Linked DNA regions of Callithrix jacchus. The protein of the gene in region 1 interacts with the protein of each later gene in a pairwise test. Links are inferred from orthologs where the notes say so. Each region holds a gene or a part of one and is shown on either strand. Other genes may lie near its edges.

The links.
Region 2: the proteins of melanoma-associated antigen D1 (region 1) and PITX1 interact in binary tests that used the Homo sapiens proteins (3 or more experiments, as listed by UniProt). The link is inferred for Callithrix jacchus from reciprocal best matches to the Homo sapiens genes MAGED1 and PITX1.

The regions. Positions count from the first base shown.
Region 1 is NC_133524.1:52,175,033-52,181,230, forward strand, and holds the end of melanoma-associated antigen D1, read left to right. Parts: intron 1-61; coding exon 62-141; intron 142-232; coding exon 233-275; intron 276-528; coding exon 529-591; intron 592-1,759; coding exon 1,760-1,874; intron 1,875-3,115; coding exon 3,116-3,493; 3' UTR 3,494-3,501; intron 3,502-3,708; 3' UTR 3,709-3,917; downstream 3,918-6,198. UniProt on the Homo sapiens protein: Involved in the apoptotic response after nerve growth factor (NGF) binding in neuronal cells. Inhibits cell cycle progression, and facilitates NGFR-mediated apoptosis. May act as a regulator of the function of DLX family members.
Region 2 is NC_133503.1:33,464,801-33,472,764, reverse strand, and holds the start of PITX1 (pituitary homeobox 1), read left to right. Parts: upstream 1-3,435; 5' UTR 3,436-3,598; intron 3,599-7,964. UniProt on the Homo sapiens protein: Sequence-specific transcription factor that binds gene promoters and activates their transcription. May play a role in the development of anterior structures, and in particular, the brain and facies and in specifying the identity or structure of hindlimb.

The DNA of each region.
Region 1 (6,198 bases):
CAAGCTGGTTGGGGTCTCTCATGCAAATGGCTGCGGAAAACATATTTCTGTATTCCTATAGGACCAAAGACACACCCAAGCTCGGTCTCCTCTTGGTGATTCTGGGTGTCATCTTCATGAATGGCAACCGTGCCAGTGAGGGTGAGTGGCTGGACCTGCAGCTGGGGGTTGGCCACAGCCTGATTTCCATGCTCATTTTCCGTCCCTTGTCTCCCCTTGCCTCCCATTGCAGCTGTCCTCTGGGAGGCACTACGCAAGATGGGACTGCGTCCTGGGTATGATTGGGCTCTCTCATCTCGTGCCTGTTTGTACCATCCTTTGGCAACAGAGGATGGTCCCAGGATTGCATTAACCTGGGGATCTGGAGAGTTTGGTTTGGGGATATTCAGAGCCCAAGGATGTGACCTGGGTGGATGGGGAAACAGTTCTGAACTCTCTGCCTGTTTTCTCATCTCTGACCTCTGTTCTGGAAAGCTCTTTGGGCACGGTCATAGCCTCTGATTACAGGTTTCCTTTTTTTACTTTCAGGGTGAGACATCCCTTACTTGGAGATCTAAGGAAACTTCTCACCTACGAGTTTGTAAAGCAGAAGTAAGTGATGCCTAAGGGGCTTTTCCTGCTCCTTATGATTCTGCCTCTGTTCTGGTCAGCCTTAGAAAGCCCTTCCTGGCTGGATATAGTGGCTCATGCCTGTAATCCCAGCACTTTGGGAGGCTTAGGTGGGCAGATTGTTTGAGCCCAGGAGTTCAAGACCAGCCTGGGCAACATAACGCAACCCCATCTCTACAAAAAATACAAAAATTAGCCAGGCATGGTGACATGCACCTGTAGTCCCAGATACTTGGGAAGCTGAAGTGGGGGAGAATCATCTGAACCCAGGAAGCTGAGGTTGCATTGAGCCATGATTGTGTCACTGCACTCCAACCTGGGCAACAGAGTGAGACCCTGTCTCAAAAAAAAGAAAACCCTTCTCAAGCTCATTTCTTACACTATACCTATGCATATGTGTTTCTGTGTGTACAGAAACACATATGTCCTCAGAAGTATTTATTGCATATACTCTTCATGGTTGAATTCTTTTTTTTTTTTTTTGAGACTGAGTCTCGCTCTATCACCCAGGCTGGAATGCAGTGGCACAATCTCAGCTCTCTTGAACCTCCACCTCCCAGGTTCAAGTGATTCTGGTGCCTCAGGCCCCCAAGTAGCTGGGACCACAGCCCTGTGCCACAATACTCGGCTGTTTTTATATTTTTGGTAGAGATGGGGTTTCACCATGTTGGCCAGGCTGGTTTCAAACTCCTGACCTCAAGTGATCTACCCACCTCGGCCTCCCAAAGTGCTGGGATTACAGGCATGAGCCACCACACCTGGCCCATCCACCATCCTCAAAGTAGGCATTCCCACAGCTGGGCCAGGGAATCCTTTGCACTGCATTGTAATCATTTCATTGGACCTCTGTGGATCACTGACAAGATTACAAGAATCTGGAGCTAATGCTGAGGCAGAAGTTGTGAAATAAAATGTCCTTTCTGTGACTCTACACAAGCCTCACCTGCAGCTCTATGAGAGTGCTTAGTATACTAGTGCAGGAATTCAAGGCTTGATGATTAAGGGGCAAATATCCTGATGGTGTTCAGGAATGAGCCTGAGGGGCAGTCGCTATCTGAAATCTGATGTTAAAAAATGTAGGATTATTTTTCATTAGCGGACTACCATTCTGTCTGTGTAGGTAGACACAAAGACTGTTTTGCTCTTTCAGATACCTAGACTACAGACGAGTGCCCAACAGCAACCCTCCTGAGTATGAGTTCCTCTGGGGCCTCCGTTCCTACCATGAGACTAGCAAGATGAAAGTGCTGAGATTCATTGCAGAGGTAATGGAGGAACTGTTCCCGCATTGATAGGTCAAGGGATGAAGTATCGCTGGCTAGGGAAGGCCCAGGGCAGGGATGAGATCCTAGGTATGGCACGTGGTAGGTGCCACATTACTGGTGGTATTTGTTGTTGCTGTTACATAAACTTAACATGTATTAGGTGCTAAAATATGTTAATATATTAGCTAATACAGTTTTGAATTTGGGTTTTTTTTTCTAGGTTTTTAAAGTATTTCTACTTTTCCTCAACTTTACTAAAGTACAATTGACAAAAATTGTATATATTTATGGTGTACAATGTGATTTTTAAGTATTTTGTTTTTTCATTCATTTATTTTTATTTTTCCCAAGATGGAGTTTTGCTGTGTTGCCCAGCCTGGAGTGCAAGGGTGCGATCTTGGCTCACTGTAACCTCTGTCTCTCGGGTTTGAGTGATTCTTGTGCCTCAGCCTCCCAAGTATCTGGGATTACAGGTGCATGTCACCACCATGCCCAGCTAATTTTAAATTTTTTTTTAGTAGAGACAGGGTTTTGCCGTGTTGGCCAGGCTGCTCTCGAATTCCTGACCTCAAGTGATCTGCCTGCCTCAGCCTCCCGAAGTGTTGGGATTACAGGCGTGAGCCACTGCACCCAGCCCATTCATTTTTTAATTGACTAATCAAAAGTATGCATATTTATAGGGTGCAACATGATGTTGTCATAATACATGTACATTGTGGAATGATTACATCAAGCTAGTTAATTCTCCATTGCCTCATATACTTGACTTTTTTTGTGATGAGAACATGTAAGATGTACTCTCTTAGCAATTTTAAATGTACAACACATTATTATTAACTATAGTCATCATGCTATACAGTAAATCTCCAGAACATATTCTTCCTATCTAACTGAAACTTTGTACCTTTTAACCAATATCTCCCCATCCTTCCTGACCCAAGGCCCTGGAAACTACCATTCTACTCTCTGCTTCTATGAGTTAGACCTTTCTGGATTCCATGTATAAGTGAGATCATCCAGTATTTGTCTTTCTGTGACTGGCTTATTTCACTTAGCATAATGTCATTCAGTATCATTCATGTTATTGCAAATGGCAGGATTTCCTTCTTTTTAAAGGCTGAATAAGTATTCCATTGTGTGTATGTATCACATTTCCTTTATCCATTGATGGACATGTAGGTTGATTCTATATCTTGGCTGTTGTAAATAGATTTTGTTTTATTTTCTATTCTTCATCTCAGGTTCAGAAAAGAGACCCTCGTGACTGGACTGCACAGTTCATGGAGGCTGCAGATGAGGCCTTGGATGCTCTGGATGCTGCTGCAGCTGAGGCTGAAGCCCGGGCTGAAGCAAGAACCCGCATGGGAATTGGAGATGAGGCTGTGTCTGGGCCCTGGAGCTGGGATGACATTGAGTTTGAGCTACTGACCTGGGATGAAGAAGGAGATTTTGGAGATCCCTGGTCCAGAATTCCATTTACCTTCTGGGCCAGATACCACCAGAATGCCCGCTCCAGATTTCCTCAGACCTTTGCCGGTCCCATTATTGGTCCTGGTGGTACAGCCAGTGCCAACTTTGCTGCCAACTTTGGTGCCATTGGTTTCTTCTGGGTTGAGTGAGATGCTGGGTATGTATATCACTTTGGATTGGGCAGTTAGGGTCTCTGGGGGACAAGGGGTCCATGGGATTGTATTTATGTGTATGAGCTAGAAGTCTTAGGAAACTCATTGTGGGGAGATGAGGAAAGTATGGGGCAGCACTCTTTGGTATGTATACTTCTTATTATTTGATATATATCATTGATTTTTTTACTTTTTCTTTCTTATGTTCACAGATATTGCTATCAATCGCAATAGCGTTTCCCCTGAGTGAGGCTGAATCCTCGGATTCCTTCTAAACACAGCTATCTAGAGAGCCACATCCTACTGACTGAAAGTGGCATGCAAGATAAATTTATTTGCTGTTCCTTGTCTATTGCTTTTTTTCCCCTTGTGTGCTGTCAAGTTTTGGTATCAGAAATAAACATTGAAATTGCAAAGTGAATTAGATGTGCCTCCTGTTTCTTTTTTTTCCCTACATTTGGGGAGCAGGCAACATGTAGGAGAGACAGGACCTTAGCTCTAGTTTGAAGGGTAGATCAGCTTTCAGCAGGTGGAAATGAGGATAGATCCAGCTAATGGATTGGGATACAAAGGCGGGATTAATGAACACAACGAGACCCAAGAACTAGTATAGTTTATTCAATAAATATGACTTCAGTGACTCTCATGTGATACATATGCTGCTAGGTGTCCCGGAGTGCACTGTGAGAAGGGTAATAGTGAGAGAGGGCATAGGTGCTCAGACAGTTGCATTTAAGAACACAGAGGAGACAAAACTCCTGGAGTCCAGAGCCTTATCTGGATGATAAGGTCCAGAGAGTAGGTAGTTGAAGGGTCAGAAGGTGACTGTTCTGGAGATAAAGGGTACCTGGCCTGTGATTCCAGGGTGGTGTTTATACAACCCACGTGGAAAGTGAAATAACTGCAGGAGAGTGGCAGGAGTAGGAATAGAGAACACCGTGAGTTAGATGCCAGAGTCTCCTCTGTGAGAAGGAAGATATACCCCTAGCCACATTGCTCATAAAGGGATGGGCTCCCAGGTACTCCTCCCCATCTCTGGAAATGCTGCCCAGGAGCCTGTCCTCTAGGAGGCCCTCACAATCTCCCGCCCACAGAGGACCAGGGCCACATCATAGAGACAGAGTCTTATGGACAGTGAAGGAGGCCTTACAATGGCTTCTTCTCTCCTGCAGGGAGAAAGAGAAGCCTTTGTTCCTTCAGGAACAAGAAGTACAGAGTAAGACAAAGCTCCATGCAGAGCTAGGCAGCCTTTGACTGTGACTGAGCAGGAACTTGGCTTGAGCTGCCAAGGTCTATGCTGGAAGCAAGGCTCTCTCACTGAGCACAAAATTAGGCCTAGGCCATAACTTCCTTAGGCGCTTGGTGGTATCCGGACATGTGGACAAGGGTGGAGACAGGAGCTCCTGGGGCAGAAAAAAGAGCAAAGGCAATCTGCGCACTTGGGAAGGGTTTGGTAGTGGGTAGGGATGGTGTCCGCTGCTTCCTCAGGGTCCCGGGTGATGTCCACATTCTGAGGAGAGAGCACAGGATTAAAAGGAAGGAGACAGCAGGGTAGGGTCCCAGCCCCTCCCCTGCCTCTTGTCCTCACTGCCAGGCTCCCCTCTTTTAGCCAGGCCTGGATCCTGACCCTCAGGTAGGCCTTGTGGATATCTCAGCCTGAGGCCTTTTTGGCAGGAATTGCCCAGCCCGCCATCTCCATGTGCCTGAGGGCTGGGCTGTGGTTCCTGCATTTCTGGGTGCTGGTTGCTCTGCCTGTTGGTGCAAAACACCCAGGCTCGGTGGGGTTGGGACAGGCTTTCTGTGGAGAAGGTGCTTTCACCATGTGCTGTGTCCACAGCCAGCTTGGGCAGCGGAGTCCTCCACCTACCTCAGGCTTCTCCCGGTGTGTGTTCACGGCCCCCACATTCAGGTAGATGGACTCCACCTTGCAGCCTTGGAAAAGAACAATCCATCTGTCCATAAGCCCCTGAGGTAGGCGCAGGTCTCCCCTCAGGTATCACCTCTCCCCATCACCACCCACACCCCCAGCTTCATACTGTGTACAGATTGTCAGTCGCCTGTAGGGAGGGAAATTCAGACAGCTGTGTGATGTGTGGGGAAGACACCAGGCCTAGGAAGCAGCCAGCAGGGCATCCTGTCACCTCTGCCCCTAACAGTCTTAGTTTTCTGCACTTCAGTTGCACATATGTAAATGGGGATGGAGATGAGAGATGAGGTCTATGGCTGCCCAGAGCTCTTGTGGTCCACATGAGAGCAATCTCATCTGTGTAATATTGATGTAGCTCTGCAGATCCTCCAAGCTGTGTTAGGTGCTGAGGAGGTGGAAGAGTCCTGGGGCCACTGCCTTGGGCAATCAGTGGCAGGCGAAGTTTATCTGGAGGACAATGTGGTTGTGGCAACACCAGGGGTGTGGAAGATCACGCGGGAGTTTTAGGGAACCTGAAGATGGAGGAGGGTACATCTTTGGGGTTTGGGGCTGACGGGGGAGGCCTAATGTGGAAGCTCCTGTAGCTTCATCTCTGTGGACTGCATCTTACTCCAGGCTTCAGTAGGCCATTCTGCCCTGTTGATGCCTCAGAATAGGTTTAATTGTGTTCCTTCCCTGCTCCTGAAATTCTTGTGTAAGTTGCACTATTGGCAAAATCAGGACAAAATCTTTAGATTTAGATTAGACAGCAATATTATATTAATGTTAGTGCCTT
Region 2 (7,964 bases), on another chromosome or scaffold:
CTCAAACTTTCTCCCTCTCACAGATGAAAAAAGGAAGTATGAATACATTCCCTCCCTTGCTCTGTGGATCCATTCCTACAAGTAGTCAAGACTCCAAGCCTCCCCTCCGACTTGCTGGCAGTGCTTCGCCTCTCCCCACAGATGAGTGCAGGAACAATTCTGATGGACTTCGGACTCTCCCGACAGAGTCAATCCCTCCCTGTCACGTTGGAGTGGACTTGCTACCATATCATCAGCAGCCCCCTGACAAACTTCAAAGGGCAGGGGGCTTCTTAGGAAACAACCCTTTCCCTCCACCAGCTCAGAGAACTTGTTCCAGATAGATGCCAGGATCCTTGGAGGAGTATGGTGATTCTGGGGTGGAGCCTCTGGCCCTGGCCAACCAAAGAAGGCCTGAGCCACTCTTCCCCACAAATTGATTGGTGCAGGAGTGGGCATGTAAGCTGCACCCAGCCAATCAGCATAACCAAATCCCTTGCTCACCCTGGGGAGGGTCCTATAGTTGTTGCCAAAAAAGGCTCAGCCCTGTTCTCAAGAAGCTTACAACTGGTAAGGGCAACAGGCTTTCGTCTATCATTATACAAAATTTCATTTCAATAGTTGCAATTAGAACTGTGAAGGAAAAGAATACTCTCCCTAATTTTACTTGGTATTAAGATTTAAAAAAAAAATAACACTGCCTGAAGAAGTGTTATGGCCTCTGTATAACAGTGGCTGCAAACATTTGCCCATTATGTGAACCCATGTGACAAATTCATCAGAGGATTTTGCACTAGGGAGAAAAATTTCTGTTAGAGAAAGCACATCAGTTTGGACTGAAAGACAAAGAAAATTCATCAGCCAATTCCGCTGAGCTTTTTTGATGGGGCACCTGGAGGCTGAGAGCTAAAGTGATATTCAGGAACAGAGACTGCTACTTCTGTTCCTGGTGAATCCTGCTCCAAACTTCCTCTCTCTCTCTGATTCCTTGATTCCACTGTGCCAAGATGTCTGCTCCCAAAGATGTCAAAACTAAAGGGAAATTGCAAAATATATATATTTTTATAGAAGGGAAAGTAAGATTATAAAAAGTGTGTTTTATCCCGCCCCCCTCAAGTTCCACTAAGAACTTCCTGACTTCCAGTCCCAGGGTGGGGTTGTGCCCCACCCACCAGCCTGCCCTGCTTTCCTGGACCAAAACTTCCTAGCAGCTAAGCAGGGAATAAGGGCAGATAAACTAAACCAGCAAAGGAATCTGTTTCTGCTAGACTCAACTAACATGACCACCATGGGGAAAGTATCTAAACAAAATAAGAGCAAACTCTCTTAAAGAGCAACCTGGTGGCTTTGCCATTCGCTTTCAGCCACTCTATACACAGGACTCAGGGCCAAGCCCCTTACCATCATCATCTCATCCATTTCCCAAAGAAAGCAGCAGGAACTCTTACTCTCACATTTCACAGATGGGGAAGCTGAGGCTGGGAAAGATTATGTTATTTGCCAAAGCCACACACAACTAGTAAAAGCCACTGACAAGATTCCAGCACAGGCCATCAGATGCCAGGGGGCAGCATGTTTTGGCATCAGAGGCCCTGCCTGGGAATGAGAGCATGCAGAAAATCTCATTCGAGATGGGAACAAAACTCGGAAAATTGCTAGCATGCAGGGAGAGAGGAAGGTGTGATTTCCTGCTACAGACTTCAGAGTAAAAGCCACCCCAGGAGTGCCTGTGCAGCCCTCCATAGTAAAGGTCCAGTGGTTCCATTTATGCCAAAAGAGGCCACTGCTGCTTGGAGTATAAGGAAGTTTCCCATGACAAGGTTGGATGCGCCAGCCTTGGCTTAGCAGCACTAGGGCTGGACCCAACAAGTCTTTTTCACACAAAAAGCAGACAACAGGAGCAGGTAGAAGTTGGGGCTAAAATTCCCACAGCGCGGGGTCCAAAGACAGTAGATGCACTTTCCCCAGGCCCAGGTCTGCTAGTGCGGTCACCGGGGACTCGTTATCTTAACTTGCAACCCTGGGTGCACAGAGCTCACACACACACTGGAGAGGGGTTCCTGCTGTTGACGGTTGAAAGGAGGGTATGGAGTCCCTGGAACAGCACGACAGAGGGCAGGGGCCACCTGGCAGGGCCTGAACGCCGAGGCCTCCGTGAGCTTGGGTCGGGCAGGCTTCCCCTTTCGGAGGCTGGGGAAGGGGTCCTGGGTCTCTACGTTTCCAGGCCAAGCAGCCCTGGAGGCACGGACTAGCAGGACGCCAAGGCGGCGCGGGTCGTGGCCTCTCCCGCAGCAGCTGTTGGCGAGAACCAGGCAGGGAGGCGCCGCTGCTGACGGCACCTCATGAAACATTCAGGCCCGGCTGCCGCGCTGCCATCTCCCGGCACCTTGCTCCCGAAACTGTTGCTCTGGATCCCATGGCCGTCGGAAGGCAGGCTCGGCCGCTCCAGTTCCTGAGAGTGACAGGCCACAGCCAGACCTGCCCTGTGGTCCCATCCCAGAGTCCCAGCAGCAAGTAGGCTCAGACTGGGCACTTCAGAGTACCAAGAGTAAGTTCGGTCAATTGGTTTCCCCCACGAGACTTTGGGCACAGGGTTATCTGGCCGCGGGGCAACGCTGGGGAGCCCTGTGGCCCGAGGGTGGGCGAAGGGCAGGCTCCCAGTTCCCTTCCATCTAGCCCGTCTCCCAGTGGCAGCCAGGAACAGGCCTGCAGGGCCACAGGGGTGCAGGCGTCACCGTTCGCAAGCCCGGAGCAGGGTGGCCGCTGGGGGATGTGCAAGCACAGGGGTTGGACAAGGGGCCGCACAAGTGTCTGTCCTGAGAGGTCAGTCTCCCCTTTCCTCACCAGCCCAGGCCCTGAAGAGAGGGAAGGAGGCAATCCGCCAAGCAGGGCAGGTCGGATGGCACCCCCACACCCAAACACAGAAACCCTGGGGTCTGTCCGCCAACCTCCTGGGCTGCCACGCTCTGCGCAGGGACTCTCCCTGCCAACACGCAAAACCAGCTCCCTCCCGCAGGCTGAGCAGGAAGGAGAAAGGTCCAATCTCAAACCGTCCCCCGCAACTAGACCACCAGCCCCCGTCTAAACGGAAGTAGGGCCAGCCCTTCAAGAGTTAGGTGGGAAACTGAGCCCTGGGAAAGAAAGGGCGCCCGGGCCAGGCTGGGACCCGCTGCGGCTTCGCAGGCTGCCAGGCCCCTCCACGGAGGTCCGAGGGCGCGTTCCTCGGCCTCCAGACTCAGCTGCCAGCCGCGCGGACCCCAGCCCGCGCCCCGAGGGAGGCCGGGACCCCTAGGCGGCGGGACTGCGCGCCGCCCCTCCCCGCAGGTCCAGGCTAGCGCCTAGCTTCCCCTCCCCCCTTCCCGCCTCCCGGCGGGTGTCCCCGCCTTCCCCGCGGGCGACGGGCGGCGGCGGCGGGAGGAGCGGGCCGAGCTAAGGCAGCCCCGGCCTCGCGCTCTGGGATGTAGCGAACCAGCAGGGGCCGAAGGAACTGGCAAAGCCGGAGCCAGAGCCAGAGCCAGAGCTGGATCCCGGGCCCCAGCCGGAGCCGAAACCTGAGCCAGAGTCCGCGGCGGGCGAGCCCGGAGCAGACGAGCGGCAGACGCAGCGCTGCCCAGGTGGGGTAAGAGACGCTGGGCTAGGGGCACAGGGTCTCCGCGGTGGAGGGGAGCAGGGAGGTGGCGGCCGGCCGAGTCCTGCGCAGTTTGCTCCTGGCGTGTGTGGGTCCAGCCGGCGACACGCGACAGCGCAAGGCGCGGAAGGTCAGGAGCCTTCGAGGCAGGAGCCCGTGCGTGCGCCCAGGGCACAATCATAGCCGCCGTCACCTAACCGGTGGGATCAACCCTCCGCTTCGGCCCCGGGCACCCCAAGCGGGTAGCAGCCTCGGGGGCACGGGCCACGGCTCCGCAAAGGGCACAACCCCGTGGCAGCCCATAGCGGCGGCGCGGGAGGCAGGGCCTCCCGACCCCCAGGAGAAATGGGCAGGAGAGAGGGCCTCCCGCTGCTCCTCACTGCGTCCAGGGATGGAGGGCCCCACCACCCATGGAACTGCTGGCCCCTCTGCGTGGCCCGGGACTTCGGCCGTAGCTTCGCATCAAGAGGGTATTTTTCCTAAACGAAACCGCTTCATTCGTTCGTTCGTTCGTTCGTTCGGGCAGCAATGATAACGAAAAGCAGCAGACATCGGCCAGCGCCCTGGCTCTCTTCGCCCCGGACTCCGACGTCCCGCCTCAGCGCTCGGAGGTGCCCCCAGCCCACCGCGGCCTGCCCTCGCCGGCACAGGTCCGGCTTTTTCTTCCCATGAGAAAAACCCCAAATTCCCTTCTTAACGTCCAATAAAGACATTCCCGCGGCTTCTCCCGGGTTTGGTTGTTGACGCAGTTCCCGGAGCACGCAGCCGCTTCTCAAGAACCGGGTCTCGGACTTCTGAAATTGACCAGCTTCGTAAATTGGAGCCCATTCTCCCGCGGCAAAGGCAGGGCTCCAAAGCCAGGATGGCAGTCATGGGAACCCCAGGCTGAAATCCGGGTCCCAAGATTTTCCGATTTAGGAATTCCCTGAATCTACAACGAGTTAGTCCACTTTTCTGAAAAACTAAGACTTGTGTATTCTCTGGACATCGCTGTGACCTCTGAAAGCCACCAGGTCCAGAGGGAGGAAATCCCAGGTTGCTGTCCACTGAGGGAGGATTCAGGTCTAGGGTTCAGGTCTAGGGTAGTCAGGCCAAAAGCTACAGGCAACCGGGGCAGCACAGAAGACTTGCTGTCCCCGTGCCCTTTCATGGGGCTGCTTTGGGCTTCCCGCATCTCTGCCAAGGAAAGGAAAAGAGGTGGGCTGGGGCGCGGAGACCAGGCTGTCTGGACTATAGGATGCAGGGGCCTCCAGACAGACTCAGGGTGCTCTTCTCCCACCTAGCCGCTGGGAAGAGGAGGCTGTGGTGCATCATAACCCGCCCCTCTGCTCCCCAGTTGTGTGACCAGCTGCACCTCCTTCCTAGTCTTCTTCCCCACAGCTCAGCCATTCTCAGGATCTAGAAAACTTCTGTTGGAATTAGGTGAGAGGTGGGCCGGGAGAGCCTTCGTCCTACCAGCCGCTGGCCCACAGCACGGAGTCCTGAGTTCTGTAATCCCATCTGTGCCTCACTGGTGGCAGTCCTGCCCAAATACATCCTGGCTCTCCCAGGAACAGGCTGGGGATCCTCAATTGGCTGGAAGCCTCAGACTGGGGTCCCAGGAAGCCTAAAGGAGCCAGTGAGGTCTTTCCAGCCCCTACCTGAGCACCCTCCTCCCTGCTTATCCAGTAATTGCTGTAGTCAAAGGAACAAGAGCTTTTATTGGGGAGGGGGTGTTAGATTAGGCAGAAGAGGTAGGTGGTCTAGGCTGCACTACCAAAACTGGGTTTTCAAGTTTGAACCTCTCCACGGACTAAGAGGCTTAGGGCTGGAATGTCCCAGAGAGTCAAGGATAGCCCTGGTAGCAGGCCATGGCACATTCCTTCCTTTTTCTAAAATACCTTGATTCTCAGAGCAAGGATTAGAGCAGGGTGCCCCCAAGGGTAGGTAGAAGGATACCTCTCCATGAGAGCATCCTAACCACCCTTCCCCAATTACATTACTAAACCATTCTTGGACACAGGCTGTTTTTAGTGAGCCCGGCTTCAGGAAGGGTCCTCTTGGTGACTGCTTCAACTCCACAACAGCCCAGGCTCTTCTGTTCAGCCCAGCCAGGACCCTAAACTCCAAAGAATCACAGAATCATTGCTGACTTTGTGTGGCGAGGGATGGTGTGGGGAATAGGACACATGGTTCCAGCTCCACTAAACCCCTTTCCCTCCTCTCTTCGAGTCCCATCAGCAAGCGAGCTAGATGCTGAAGCAGCAGACAGAGTCCCATATTGGACATGGGAACTGAGGCACAGGGCAGATCAAGCCTTGATATTGAGGCAAACACAGGTCACACAGCACAGTTGGAGGAACACCAAGCCTCTTCTTACTCCTGAAAGAGTGCTGTCTTCTGTCCTGTGTATGTGATGTGTCTGTGAGTGTGCAAGAAGCCCCTGTCTTGACTGGGACAATGGCCAGTGAGAGAGTGTAGCCGGGGAAGAACAGAGAGCATGTCCAGGTCCCTTCCCCAGCCAATGCCCAGGATCAGGCCACAGCCTCCTCACTCCTTGATCACTCAGTGCTGCCCAGGCCAAGCGGGACACACTCCCCTAGCAGGCCTCACTAGCCCCATCCCCTCTTTGGGTCTCAGGTCCCCTGAGGATAGGGGCTTCACCTGAAACAGTCTGAGGGCTTTTCCATCCACACAGCAGGTAACGAGATTGCCAAATAAAGGGACTATTGTGCTTGCCTGGAGCTTGGCCAGAGGTTTGGGCCCAGAGGGGCACACAGCAGGTGCTCAATAACTGCATTAAATGCACCAGCAGTAAGGATACAGGCCCCAGACTAATCAGTGAGTGCTGCTGAGTCACAAAACAGTCCCCATCCAGGGACAGCCCAAAGAGTCACTTTGGTCCCTCCGGGAAATGAAGGGGCTGTGAGTCCCAGCCTCCTCTGGATGCCCACAGACAGACCATTCATTTCTAAGTCTCTGCTCAGAGATGCACTGTGCTTCCCACCTTGGCCTGACATGTGGTGGGTTAGAACACACCTCCTATCCCCTACCAGCCAGCGTTCATGCCAAGTAGCACATATATGCCTCAACTCAGCACTTCCATAATGCAGTGAGTGCATGTGTGTGCAGAGCATGCTGGCATGGATGTACAGGACGTGTGTGTATGTGCGCGCACGCGTGCGTGCCCCCATGCTGTATGCATGCAGGCTGTTCTATGCGGTAAGACAGCTAAAGGGAGAATGGTGTGTGAAGGGACACTCCCGAGCATGCTGCGGCACCTGAATATCTCCTTGAAAGGAGGGATCTTCTGCTGCAGGAGACTTAGCCAAGAAATGTGGTAAAGGTGGAGCTGAGGGCAAATGCTGTGCAACTGTGCTTCTCCATGTCCCCCTCCCCGTGGCCAGGACTCGTTTCATGGAGGGAGATCTCAGCTTGGAAGAAGGCAGGAGCCTCCCCAACCAAACTCCTGGGAAGTGTCCTCCCTCCGGCCTCAGACCCTGCCTCCTGTGGTCACAGATGCACAGTGAGAAAGGGTCAGGCCCTAAGGAGCTGCTGTCTCTCCCTGCCCCACAGTTGGGGGGCAAGGGGGGCTGGGGCTAACATGGAGGGAATGGAAGGCAGGCCTCGTTCCACACTGTGTGCCTGCCCCTGACCCCAGCATCCCTCACAAGAGCTCAACCTGACCCTGGGTGTCTCCCTGTGATGGGAAGGGGTAAAGCGAGGACTCAAAGGCAGAGCCTGCAGAGTGCCCCAGAGGCTGATACCTGCACCGTCAGTGCCACCCACCCAGGAGGTGAGGAGGCACTGGGTTTTGGGGTGAGGACACTGGACACCTCCCTGGAGAGCAAGGCAGTGCTTCTTTCCCAGGCTGACAATCTCCCTGGTGCTGCTCCCTTGGGTTGCTGTGTCTGGTGGAGCTGGTCACAGGTGAGGGGCAGAGGGCAGTCTGGGGTCCGCCTATGGTCAGAGGAGCAGGTCAGGGCGGTGCCTTGCTGCCCCAGCTGTAGCCTGTTGGCTCAATACACTGTGGTCTCAGGACCAGCTAACAATTGTTGAGCAAAATCCTTCAACAGACTTCACCTACATGCAAGGACTTGAGGAGAGGATCCCTCTTGGGAGTGGGAGAGTAATGTCTTTGCCTGTGCCCAATGAAGGCCCACTGGAGCTGCAGCTCAGCCACCACTATGTGGGAAAGAAGCTGGAAGACTGAGGGCTTCCTGGGCTGCTGGCCCAGGGTTGGGAGACAGCAGTCACCTAGCCTACCAGGCCTGTACCTGAAGCCCTAGGAAGCCAGGATGCAGTCCCCCAGGCTGGGACAAAGCTACCCTGAAGAAGGGCAAAGGCTGCCAAGGCCAGGCCAGGCCCATTTTGCTAA